Macaca mulatta: one gene and its partners. The protein of the gene in region 3 interacts with the protein of the main gene of each other region in a pairwise test. Links are inferred from orthologs where the notes say so. Each region holds a gene or a part of one and is shown on either strand. Other genes may lie near its edges. The genes, in order: SIAH1, FAM127A and PEG10.

Evidence for each region.
Region 1: the proteins of PEG10 (region 3) and SIAH1 interact in binary tests that used the Homo sapiens proteins (3 or more experiments, as listed by UniProt). The link is inferred for Macaca mulatta from reciprocal best matches to the Homo sapiens genes PEG10 and SIAH1.
Region 2: the proteins of PEG10 (region 3) and FAM127A interact in binary tests that used the Homo sapiens proteins (3 or more experiments, as listed by UniProt). The two-hybrid records come from large-scale screens. The link is inferred for Macaca mulatta from reciprocal best matches to the Homo sapiens genes PEG10 and RTL8C.

The regions. Positions count from the first base shown.
Region 1 is NC_133425.1:43,776,302-43,780,416, forward strand, and holds the start of SIAH1 (E3 ubiquitin-protein ligase SIAH1), read right to left. Parts: upstream 2,873-4,115; 5' UTR 2,688-2,872; coding exon 2,597-2,687; intron 1-2,596. UniProt on the Homo sapiens protein: E3 ubiquitin-protein ligase that mediates ubiquitination and subsequent proteasomal degradation of target proteins.
Region 2 is NC_133426.1:141,544,752-141,547,793, reverse strand, and holds FAM127A (protein FAM127A), read right to left. Parts: upstream 1,894-3,042; 5' UTR 1,808-1,893; coding exon 1,466-1,807; 3' UTR 646-1,465; downstream 1-645.
Region 3 is NC_133408.1:124,715,968-124,720,374, reverse strand, and holds PEG10 (retrotransposon-derived protein PEG10), read left to right. Parts: upstream 1-1,555; 5' UTR 1,556-1,676; coding exon 1,677-2,756; coding exon of another isoform or gene 2,757-3,904; 3' UTR 3,905-4,335; downstream 4,336-4,407.

The DNA of each region.
Region 1 (4,115 bases), on a different chromosome or scaffold from region 3:
TTTTGCTAGGACTCTCTCCCTGAGACTCCCTTACTCTTATTTCTTTCTAATTTGGAGTCAGCTATTGATAGGTATAGGGAGTTACAGGTGAAGTCCTGGATAAAATCGGCACTCTGTATTCACACGGTCTGCATCCAAGGACTTCACCACAGCCATGGATTGAAAATATTCAGAAAAATTTACAAATAATACAAAATTTTTAAAATACAGTCTATAACAACTATTTACGTATTATTTACATTGTATTAAGTAATCCAGAGATAATTTAAATTATACAGGAGAATATGCACATACATATACGACACCATTTTCTATCAGGGACTTGAGCATCCTCAGGTTTTGGTATGGGGAAGGGGGTCCTAGAACTAATCTTCCGAGGATACCGCGGGACAAGTGTAGTTCCAATGCCAAAGAATCAGAGAACCTTCCATTAACTCTTCTTAATGGTAAGCCATTATCTACTCTAGAGGTGTACTTTGGGAATGAGGGGAGGGGTCACAAGGGGAAAGGTCTGCTGCCATCCCATTATCCATCTTTACCTAATTAAGTCTTCCCCCCAAATTATCATCAGCCAGGTATTAATCTTATTTCTTACTGATTAGTGCTCACCTCAAGAGTGAGGGGATGTACTCGCTAGTGAAGGTAGCAAAAATATAAAAATAAACACACAACAAAGGTGAAGGGAGACATAGGAGAAATGGAGGGCCATCTCAAAACTTTTTAGTCTGGTAGAGAAAGTACATCTTTCTGTTCCACTTTCAATCCACAATATGTATCAGACATAATGAACAAAGGAGGAGAGTCAGGAAGAGACAGTGAAAAAGGAAAGAATAAAGATGATAGCACGGCAGAGATAATATACCATACTGGGGGTGGGGGATGAAGTCAACAGGTGAAGAACCCCTTGCAGCCTAGGGTTCTCCAGCGTTGCTGAAACATTCATCAGCAGAGTAATCAACGTTATTTAACAAGTAAATGTCATCTGGAAGAAATAATCGACAATGTAACTAGTCAAGCTGAGTCAAACATAAAACAAGCAACTTTTCCCAGGAAGCTACCTGGGCTGGGATATTGCAGGCCACTATTTGTCTTGGGGGTGGAAAAAAAGATCAGTCGATGTCCTAAGAGTGCACTCCTAGTAACTCTACTAAGCCATATTCTTTTTTTTTTTTTTTTTTTTTTGAGATGGAGTTTTGCTCTTGTTGCCCAGGCCGGAGTACAATGGTGCCTGCTCACTGCAACCTCTGCCTCCCAGGTTCAAGCAATTCTCCTGCCTCAGCCTCAAAAGCAGCTGGGATTACAAGTGCCTACCACCATGCCCGACTAATTTTTGTATTTTTAGTAGAGACGGGGTTTCACCATGGCTGGTCTCAAACTCCTGACCTCGTGATTCCCCGGCCTCGGCGTCCCAAAGTGCTGGGATTACAGGCATTGGCCACTGCGCCCGGCCACTAAGCCATATTACAAAATTAAAGCTTCAAAATTAATGTTTTAATTCAATTATAGTCATTATTCTGTTGCAGGGAACTTTTAAGAAACAATGTTGGTTACCAATGTGACCAAGTAAATGCAACTTGGTTTCTAGATTACCCAAGTGGTTACCAACTGATAGCTTAAATGAGGGCTTAGGGTGAAGGAAAAATAAAGATTAATTCCACATCACTAAAAGGATATTTTAAAGTTCAAGAGGCAACAAAAGTGACAGAATTCCATCATAATGTGTCTCATCATACGGACTCAGAACATGAATCAACTCTCATCTGAAGCCCAGTGTGACCCAGGTGTTCTGTCCCCTGACAAAGGACTATAAAGGAGCTCTCCTGTAATCCAGTTTCCCTCTGAGTAGATTCTTTGTACATATGACATCCATTTTATGTCACTTGTAAAACAGTGGGCTCAGTATTGCCAAAACACCCTGGCTGTATGCTGTATGCCTACTGCATGGTCCAGTTTACTTCAGTAAGCAGCATAACAATTACAAAGTGGTTCCTTGGGCACAAAACAGTCTAGTCAACCAATGCCTTTCAGATTACTAAACCAAACCAAGGAATCACATCCAAGGGCAGTAAACTCAGTTTATATTTAACACAACATAGCTAGAGACCGAGAAAAACACTGTTGTTCACAATTTCTTGACCTAGCAATAGTTATACATTTATCATCAACAGTTCAGGCTCACAATACATCTTTACCATTTTCCAAACACTATAGAAAGCACATTTTAACTCCTATTCAAAGTGTGAAAAAGAACTGAAATGTGAACGGTATTTCTTGTGAATGGAGGTATTACAGGACAGCAACTGCTAAAGCCTCTCAAAGCTCCAAGGGTGGAACCCAGCTCCATCTTGAAACAGAAAAGGAATCCCAACCACACAGCCGCCCTGCAGTAGGAACTAAGGACAGCCCTGCAGAAGTCATGACGTAACCTGAAGTTTGATTTAAACATAAAAAAGCACAGCAACCCAAATGAAACATGACTGAGAACCTCGGAAACGGCTGGATTCTGCTGCAGCCATTCCCTAAGCCAGACAGGTTCCACTGACTAATAGCGTTCAAGCTTCATAGCCTCAGCAACCTATCCTCTTAATGTCAATACCTTTTCTCTTCCTTGTCCTGGCCGCTGGTAAACATGTGAACAAGACTCCCCTCCAGGAGTACAGAGAAGGTGGAGTAGCCTTTCCCGTCATGAGAAGTCAGGCCGCGCATTGCGTTTCCCCCAAGAAGTAAAGGAACAGGCCCCTCCTGGGCACTTTCTGCTCCTAAGCACAGAAGACCCAAATTCGCGTCTGAGGTCAGGATCCAAATATCCATTTACTTCTCAGAAGCACGAGTTACAGAGGTGGAGAAAGGAAGCCTTCCCATCCCCAGGAGGCAACCACACCTCCCTGTGAGCTCAAATTCGGCTGCATCTCCAAAAATGGGAGCCACAGCTGCGCTGTCCTCCAGTGTGCCCTAAGCTTTCGTCTGTCTCCCAAGTTTGTCTTCTCCAGATTCACTCCGTAGGCTACTGCCCAGCTCCCCAGCTCCGGTGGAGGCCGGGGATGCAGGGGGCGACGCGCTCACTGCGAAGGAAGTGCGCTCCCTGAGCCAGCTCAGGGGCTACTGCAGAAGCCTGCCTGCTGGAGAGCCATTTGGAGCCTCGGCCGGGGCTGGGCCTGCGTTGGGAACGCCCACTCCAACCCGGGGCGCCAGGGCCAGCTCAGGGCGCGCAGCGCGCAGGGCGGTGCCCGTCTTGCTCGCGCAGGGGTGGGGCTGTGCCCGCAAGCCCCGCCCCGCAGCCCAGGGCGGGGCCCCGCCACCCCGCTGTTGACCCCATCCCACCCCAGCGACATCGAGCCTTCCTCAGCATTTCCACCAGTTTAAAATTAGGTAGAACCATGCTGTTTTCGGTAGGTCACAACAGTCGAATATCGGCAGTTTCTCACGGTTCGATCTAAGAGCTACAGCGTATCTGGCGTATCTGGGAAATGCGTGCCCACACCGGCGCTACATTCCCGGTTCATCGTGCAAACTTAATTTTTAGAGTGAAAACATTCTCCTTAATTCATTCAACAGCTATTTACCGGGCATCAACTACCATATTTACTCAATTCTAGCTCACTTCATTTCTACTCCTATGGGCACTATATTTTAAACTCTCCTTCCCCGCTGTGAAAAGACTTCGCAGGAAAAGTTGTAAGCACACTTCTGCCACATTAAACTCCTACTTAAACCTCCTAAGAGATTATACTCTTCCCACTCTGGGAAAGCCATCTTAAATGGCCTCATTAAACACAGAGTAGCTTGTTTTGTTTTTAAACAAGCATTACCCTTGCCCCAATAAAGTCCTGGGCCTCAGATTTGCATTGCATCAGCTAGTGCGTGCAGAGGTTTAACCTGTCATTACATCATGCTTAGGGCAGCCTCCAAATGCAGCAAGAGCTGGCAGTGAGGAGTGAACCCAATGCAAGGAACTGCAGATTACCCACTTTCAGCAAGAAATTTTAACTCTACCCACTTCCTCACTCTATTAACAGTGTGTCCAATCACCTCAACCTCATTTTACAATACAGGCTACACAAAACAACATTAGGAAAAGAAATATAATTGAAAATAGACACAGTCGTGCCAGAACT
Region 2 (3,042 bases), on a different chromosome or scaffold from region 3:
ATATTGAGCTTTTCCCAGAGATAGATGGGGTGGCAGAGGCATGTTAGCACAGTAGATTTCAAAGATTTGCATGCAGAGATACGTTGAAGAGAATTTTTTTTTTTCTGCCCATTAGGGAAGGTGGTAATTGTATTGTGTTTCAGGTCATTCATTAAACAAGTTTGTACCTAAATTAACTACAGTTCTGCATTCCTTTCTCCACCACTTACCCAATTAAAGCAATATAAATGTAAATGCTTTTTCTGAAGTATCTAAGCCATTTTGCTGGTTCCCTGATAATGCATTAAATAAAACTGTAAGAAGTGTTCACCAACAAATGTGTGAGATGCATGGCTTGTAACCATCTGGGGTATATGCTTTCAGACAGTTTTTTGGAAAAGAGGGAAGAAAAAGCACCCTATCTGACTATTCCTTATCTTATCTTGGCCACAGTCAGATTAAGGTTCATTTCCTAAGGGGCACAAAACTTGACTTGTTTACAACATTAATCATCTGGGATTAGTCACCGGTGGGATCTCCATTTGCAGGACACCACAGGACTCTGTGTCAACATCAACCATAGCGTGGCAGGACATATAGTTTTTGAACAAGATATGGACCCCATTTACAGAACCAGGGAGGGAAAAGTGCCATATTGACTGAGACCATTTCTTTTCAATAATGTCTGACATTTATTGAAAATAAGGAAAAGACTTTCTCCAGGTAGTGTATTAGAGCAGAGCAGAATGCAGGGGTTACTGTGTTGAACAAAAGGCACACATCAGAGAGACAGTTGCAAACTCAGAAAACTGGGTTATAGGCAAAACTAACTGGTCCACAAGAGAAAATGAGAGACTCGATTTGGCTGCCAGGCACACCTGGGTCTAGGCTGGAACACAAGAGGTTTCTGGGGGTGGGGAGGAAATAGGTCTCGCTGAAGGTGACAGATCCCTTGGGGGGCCAGCTGTCTGGATCACTGTCCAAGGACTGTGGCCAGCCCAGATACCTCCGAGGTGAGTCCAGATCACTAGGAGCAGCAGTCTGTCAGTGGGATGCGATGGATGGCGATGGCAGTGGCAGCGCAGGTCTGTGGGCAGAATGATGTAGTCGTCTGGCAGTCTGGTGGGGAGGAGGGGGCTTGGCAGCGGCGGCAGTGGGTGGTCTGTCCAGTGTGTAACAGGAGCCCAGCTTGCAGCTGGAGCGCAGGACAGCGTCCAAATGTGCATGGGAGGGGCTGGCTGGCTGGAAGGAGAGGGCGGCGGCTCGCTCCAGAGTGAGGCCCAGGGGCGGCAGCAGGAGCCTGGAGCGCTATTCCTGGAACAAAGGCAAGCACTACGCGGGAGGGGACAGGAGCGCAGGGGACATCGCGGCGGCTCGAGGGGGAGGGAGGTGCGGAGGGAGGGCGCCTGTGGCGACCCTGGCGGCGGCCAGTAACACAGCGGGCCCTCCCCAGAGCACCCGCCCCCAGGCTCGAGGGTCTCCCGGCCTAAAAGTCCTCGTCCTCCTCCCATCCAAAGACCCGCTTCATCTCGGCCAGGAAGCCCCGGTAATCATTGAGGAGGGGGCTCTCCTTCTTGATGTAGGGGATCACCCACTGCAGGGCGGGCCCCGTGAGGCGGGTGATGAGGAACGTCACCTTCAGGGCGTCGCTGGAGAATGTGTTCTCGTCCACGAACATGTAGGAGCCCGTCTGCACGATGAACTCCGGGAGCCGGTCGGTATCGCCATCAAACGTCTCGGGAAAGGGAATCGGGTTCCTCCAGCGACGCGTCGCAGGTCGGATCGGCAAGGCCAGGAGGGCCTTTATCAGCTGCACCCGACCGTCCATCGCTGCTCTTCGCTTCGCTGGACGTCAATGGGCTCCACCCGGCTCTGCAGAGGTCAGTACCGAGGCGTCGCCGGAAATGCGTGTCCACGAAGGCCTGCCCAAGCTAGGGTGGGCGGGGCCACGAGCGGGGCTCCAGCCCTCTCATGGACTCCGCCCACAAGGCCGGGTGTTCCCTAGTACGCAGGCGCGTCGTGGGGCACACACTTGCGAAGAAGGGCCTAAAGCCCTCAAGGAGGCAGGGTCCTATCGGAGAGGCTGGGCTGAGGGTTCCTAAGGTGGCGGGACGGGGAGCAGGGGAGGAACCAGGGAGACCTGGTGGTGTACGGGGCGCGAGGAGCTCGCTCCAAGGGTATGTTAGGGGCCCTACCTAGTTCTGGTAGTTGAGGAGTCCTCCCGCTGCACTGGTCCCCACCTCTCATCAGCCCTTGGGTATGCATTCGGGGAGCCTTGGCCCTGGACGCCACTAGTATGAGGTTCTGTGAACACATTTTCCTGCTCCTTCTTGCGTCTCTCAACCAGATTATTGGCTCCCTACTTTGCAACATTAATAGAGAAGCCCCACATATTAGCAAATATAATCCAGAGCAGCATGTTCAAAGAGTAATGCACCACGCTTGAGGGATGTATACTCCATTCTCCATGATGTGATTATTAGGACCTAGTATTTGATAGCACAACAGGATGACTACAGTCAAAATAATTTAATTGTACATTTAAAAATAACTGAAAGAGTGTAATTGGATTGTTTGTAGCACAAAGGATAAGTGCTTGAGGGGATGGATGCCCCATTTACCATTATGTGATTATTATGCATTGTATACCTATATTAAAGCATTTCACGTACCCCATAAATACATATACCTATCATGTACCCACAAAAATTAGAAAATAAATTTTTAAAAAGAATAATATACCACAAGCAGTTAATGTAAGGAGAGTTAAATATTAAGAAATCTCTTAATTTGTTATAAAAGCTGCCCTCAGTTCTCTGTCACGTTGCCCTGTCTCTAGGCAGTTCACTACACTGCAGCTTGTTTCTTCATGGAACAAAGGGAGAATGTTTCTCCTTGAAAGATGGAGTCATGTATAAACTAACATAATCATGGGAGTTCATCACCTTTGCCACATTCTCTTGGTTAGAAGCAAGCCATAGTCCCCACCTACACTGAAAGGTATGACCAGGATATTGGGATGTTGGGGGCCACCTTAGAATCTGTCTGCCATAGCATGGATAT
Region 3 (4,407 bases):
AACTTTTCAAACTTTCTTTAAAAGTTTTATAAACTTTTCAAACTTTCTTAAAAGTTTTATAAGCTTTTCAAACTTTCTTTAAAAGCTTTATAAACTTTTTAAACTTTCTTTAAAAGTTTTAAACTTTTTAAATTAAAGTTTTTTAAACTTTTTTAAACTTTTACATATTATGTTTTAAACTTTTTATGTATTTAAATTTTCCGAATATGGGACTTGAGATTATTAATAAAATTTAAAATAATTAAATCATTCTAAATGTATTTAACTGTATTTTCAGGAAGTACACAGGCAGACACTGTGTCAGGATTTTTTATGTGTGTGATTTATTGTCATTGCACTCATAATTAGAATGCTTAAACACACACCCTACCCCCACCTCCCCACACACATCCACTCACCCGCAGGAATGCAGCCCTGTCCCACCTTAACATTACAAACCTGCATTTGGGGCTATGCTGACAAATCTTGGTTAAAAACTATGGATTGCAAACTGGTGACCTGCAAGACAAATAAGGCCTTGGATTTGACCAACACAGTGTTTTTAAAAAAGTAAACATCTTTAGGTGGGAAATGCATGCCCATGTTGCTATAGTTGCAGCCCCTCCCTCTTTTAATCCCACTCTCTTCACACAGATAATCACCTTTCTATTTTCTAATTAATAACTTTGTTAATATCAGCTAACCATTATTGAATACTCACTACATAATTTACCTGCACTATTTAATTAAGTCCTCACAATTAGTTTGAGGTATACTATTATTGGGCTTCTTTGAATGCCCCATTTTATAGCTTTTCCTAGGAGGCATCAATTAGTATTTCTTGAATGACTGCATAAATGACAAGGGAAACTGACATACACATATTGCTGCTTAGTGCCATTTCTGTCCCACAGAGAATTTTCTTTGGGGATTTAAATTATGGTCAGAAAAGTAATTTAGGCAGTCCTGTAGTTTTTGTGGTGGTGGTTGTTTGATTTGATAACCAGTGACCTTCTCTGTGGCAGTGAAACAGGGTTGTGACAGTTGGCCACAGTACCCTCCTCCCGCCCACAGGGCTGATGAATACATGCATTGTGATTTTAATACTCCCCTCTTTTTTAATTAGCTTCTATTAGTTGTAGTATTAACTATTTTTGGCCTAGCTTCTTTAGTAACAAAAGTTATTATTTTGGCTTTAATTTGCATAATTGATTTGGTATCTATGTTTGCCTTGAAGTTTCTTCCTCTGTTTCAATACAAAACTACTTGTTTAGAGGGTTTCAACATTCTTTTATAGTTTATAAAGGTAAGCATGCTGTTGATGATGTATTGTTGAATCATAATGAACAGGTGGCCTTTGAGGAAGACAAGGTCATTTGAACATCAAAAAGTAGTTTCCTTTTTGTTATCTATGGTGCTGATTGATACTTTTCTCTTGAAAGTTTGTTTTCTTTGTTCGCTAATTATTAAAGTAAGTGCATGGAGCAAGGGATAATTTAAATACTAAATCCTTTGTGTCTGCATTTTGCTGCTTTGAATCTATAAGTTGGATTTATACATTTATCTTTATTTACAGAAATAAGCGGATTTTGAAAACAAAAAAAAGAAGGAGTGGAAGAGGGGGCCAGGATCCAGGCCTCCATCCCCACAGAAGTGAAGCTACAGCTGGGAGGTCTCCTCCCACCCCAACCGTCACCCTGGGTCCCGACTGCCCACCTCCTCCCCCTCCCCCTCCCCCCAACAACAACAACAACAACAACTCCAAGCACACCGGCCATAAGAGCGCGTGTGTCCCCAACATGACCGAACGAAGAAGGGATGAGCTCTCTGAAGAGATCAACAACCTAAGAGAGAAGGTCATTAAGCAGTCCGAGGAGAACAGCAACCTGCAGAACCAGGTGCAGAAGCTCACAGAGGAGAACACCACCCTTCGAGAGCAAGTGGAACCCACCCCTGAGGATGATGATGATGACATCGAGCTCCGCGGTGCTGCAGCAGCTGCTGCCCCACCCCCTCCAATAGAGGAAGAGTGCCCAGAAGACCTTCCAGAGAAGTTCGATGGCAACCCAGACATGCTGGCTCCTTTCATGGCCCAGTGCCAGATCTTCATGGAAAAGAGCACCAGAGATTTCTCAGTTGATCGTGTCCGTGTCTGTTTCGTGACAAGCATGATGACCGGCCGTGCTGCCCGCTGGGCCTCAGCAAAGCTGGAGCGCTCCCACTACCTGATGCACAACTACCCAGCTTTCATGATGGAAATGAAGCATGTCTTTGAAGACCCTCAGAGGCGAGAGGCTGCCAAACGCAAGATCAGACGCCTGCGCCAAGGCATGGGGTCTGTCATCGACTATTCCAATGCTTTCCAGATGATTGCCCAGGACCTGGATTGGAACGAGCCTGCGCTGATTGACCAGTACCACGAGGGCCTCAGCGACCACATTCAGGAGGAGCTCTCCCACCTCGAGGTCGCCAAGTCGCTGTCTGCTCTGATTGGGCAGTGCATTCACATTGAGAGAAGGCTGGCCAGGGCTGCTGCAGCTCGCAAGCCACGCTCACCACCCCGGGCGCTGGTGTTGCCTCACGTTGCAAGCCACCACCAGGTAGATCCAACCGAGCCGGTGGGAGGTGCCCGCATGCGCCTGACCCAGGAGGAAAAAGAAAGACGCAGAAAGCTGAACCTGTGCCTCTACTGTGGAACAGGAGGTCACTACGCTGACAACTGTCCTGCCAAGGCCTCGAAGTCTTCGCCGGCGGGAAACTCCCCGGCCCCGCTGTAGAGGGACCTTCAGCGACCGGGCCAGAAATAATAAGGTCCCCACAAGATGACGCCTCATCTCCACACTTGCAAGTGATGCTCCAGATTCATCTTCCGGGCAGACACACCCTGTTCGTCCGAGCCATGATCGATTCTGGTGCTTCTGGCAACTTCATTGATCACGAATACGTTGCTCAAAATGGAATTCCTCTAAGAATCAAGGACTGGCCAATACTTGTGGAAGCAATTGATGGGCGCCCCATAGCATCGGGCCCAGTTGTCCACGAAACTCACGACCTGATAGTTGACCTGGGAGATCACCGTGAAGTGCTGTCATTTGATGTGACTCAGTCTCCATTCTTCCCTGTCGTCCTAGGGGTTCGCTGGCTGAGCACACATGATCCCAACATCACATGGAGCACTCGATCTATTGTCTTTGATTCTGAATACTGCCGCTACCACTGCCGGATGTATTCTCCAATACCACCATCGCTCCCACCACCAGCACAACAACCGCCACTCTATTATCCAGTAGATGGATACAGAGTTTACCAACCAGTGAGATATTACTATGTCCAGAATGTGTACACTCCAGTAGATGAGCACGTCTACCCAGATCACCGCCTGGTTGACCCTCACATAGAAATGATACCTGGAGCACACAGTATTCCCAGCGGACATGTGTACTCACTGTCTGAACCTGAAATGGCAGCTCTTCGAGATTTTGTGGCAAGAAATGTGAAAGATGGGCTGATTACTCCAACGATCGCACCTAATGGAGCCCAAGTTCTCCAGGTGAAGAGGGGGTGGAAACTGCAAGTTTCTTACGATTGCCGAGCTCCAAACAATTTTACTATCCAGAATCAGTATCCTCGCCTATCTATTCCAAATTTAGAAGACCAAGCGCACCTGGCAACGTACACTGAATTCGTACCTCAAATACCTGGATACCAAACGTACCCCACGTATGCCGCATACCCGACCTACCCAGTAGGATTCGCCTGGTACCCAGTGGGAAGAGACGGACAAGGAAGATCACTATATGTACCTGTTATGATCACTTGGAATCCACACTGGTACCGCCAGCCTCCGGTACCACAGTACCCGCCGCCACAGCCGCCGCCTCCACCACCGCCGCCGCCGCCGCCTCCATCTTACAGTACCCTGTAAATACTTGTCGTGTCCTTCAGGATCTCTGCCCTCAAAATTTATTCCTGTTCAGCTTCTCAATCAGTGACTGTGTGCTAAGTTTTAGGCTACTGTATCTTCAGGCCACCTGAGGCACATCCTCTCTGAAACGGCTGTAGAAGGTCAGGGCCACCCTGGACTGGCACACATCCTAAAGCACCAAAAGACCTTCAACATTTTCTGAGAGCAACAGAGTATTTGCCAATAAATTAGCTCTCATTTTTCCACCTTGACTGCCAATCTAACTAAAATAATTAGTAAGTTTACTTTCCAGCCAGTCCTGGAAGTCTGGGTTTTACCTGCCAAAACCTCTGTCACCATCTAAATTATAGGCTGCCAAATTTGTTCTTTAACATTTACAGAGAAGCTGATACAAATGCAGGAAATGCTGATTTCTTTATGGAGGGGGAGACAAAGAGGAGGAGGAGGACATGACTTTTCTTGCAGTTTCGGTACCCTCTTTAAATCACTGGAGGACCGAGGCC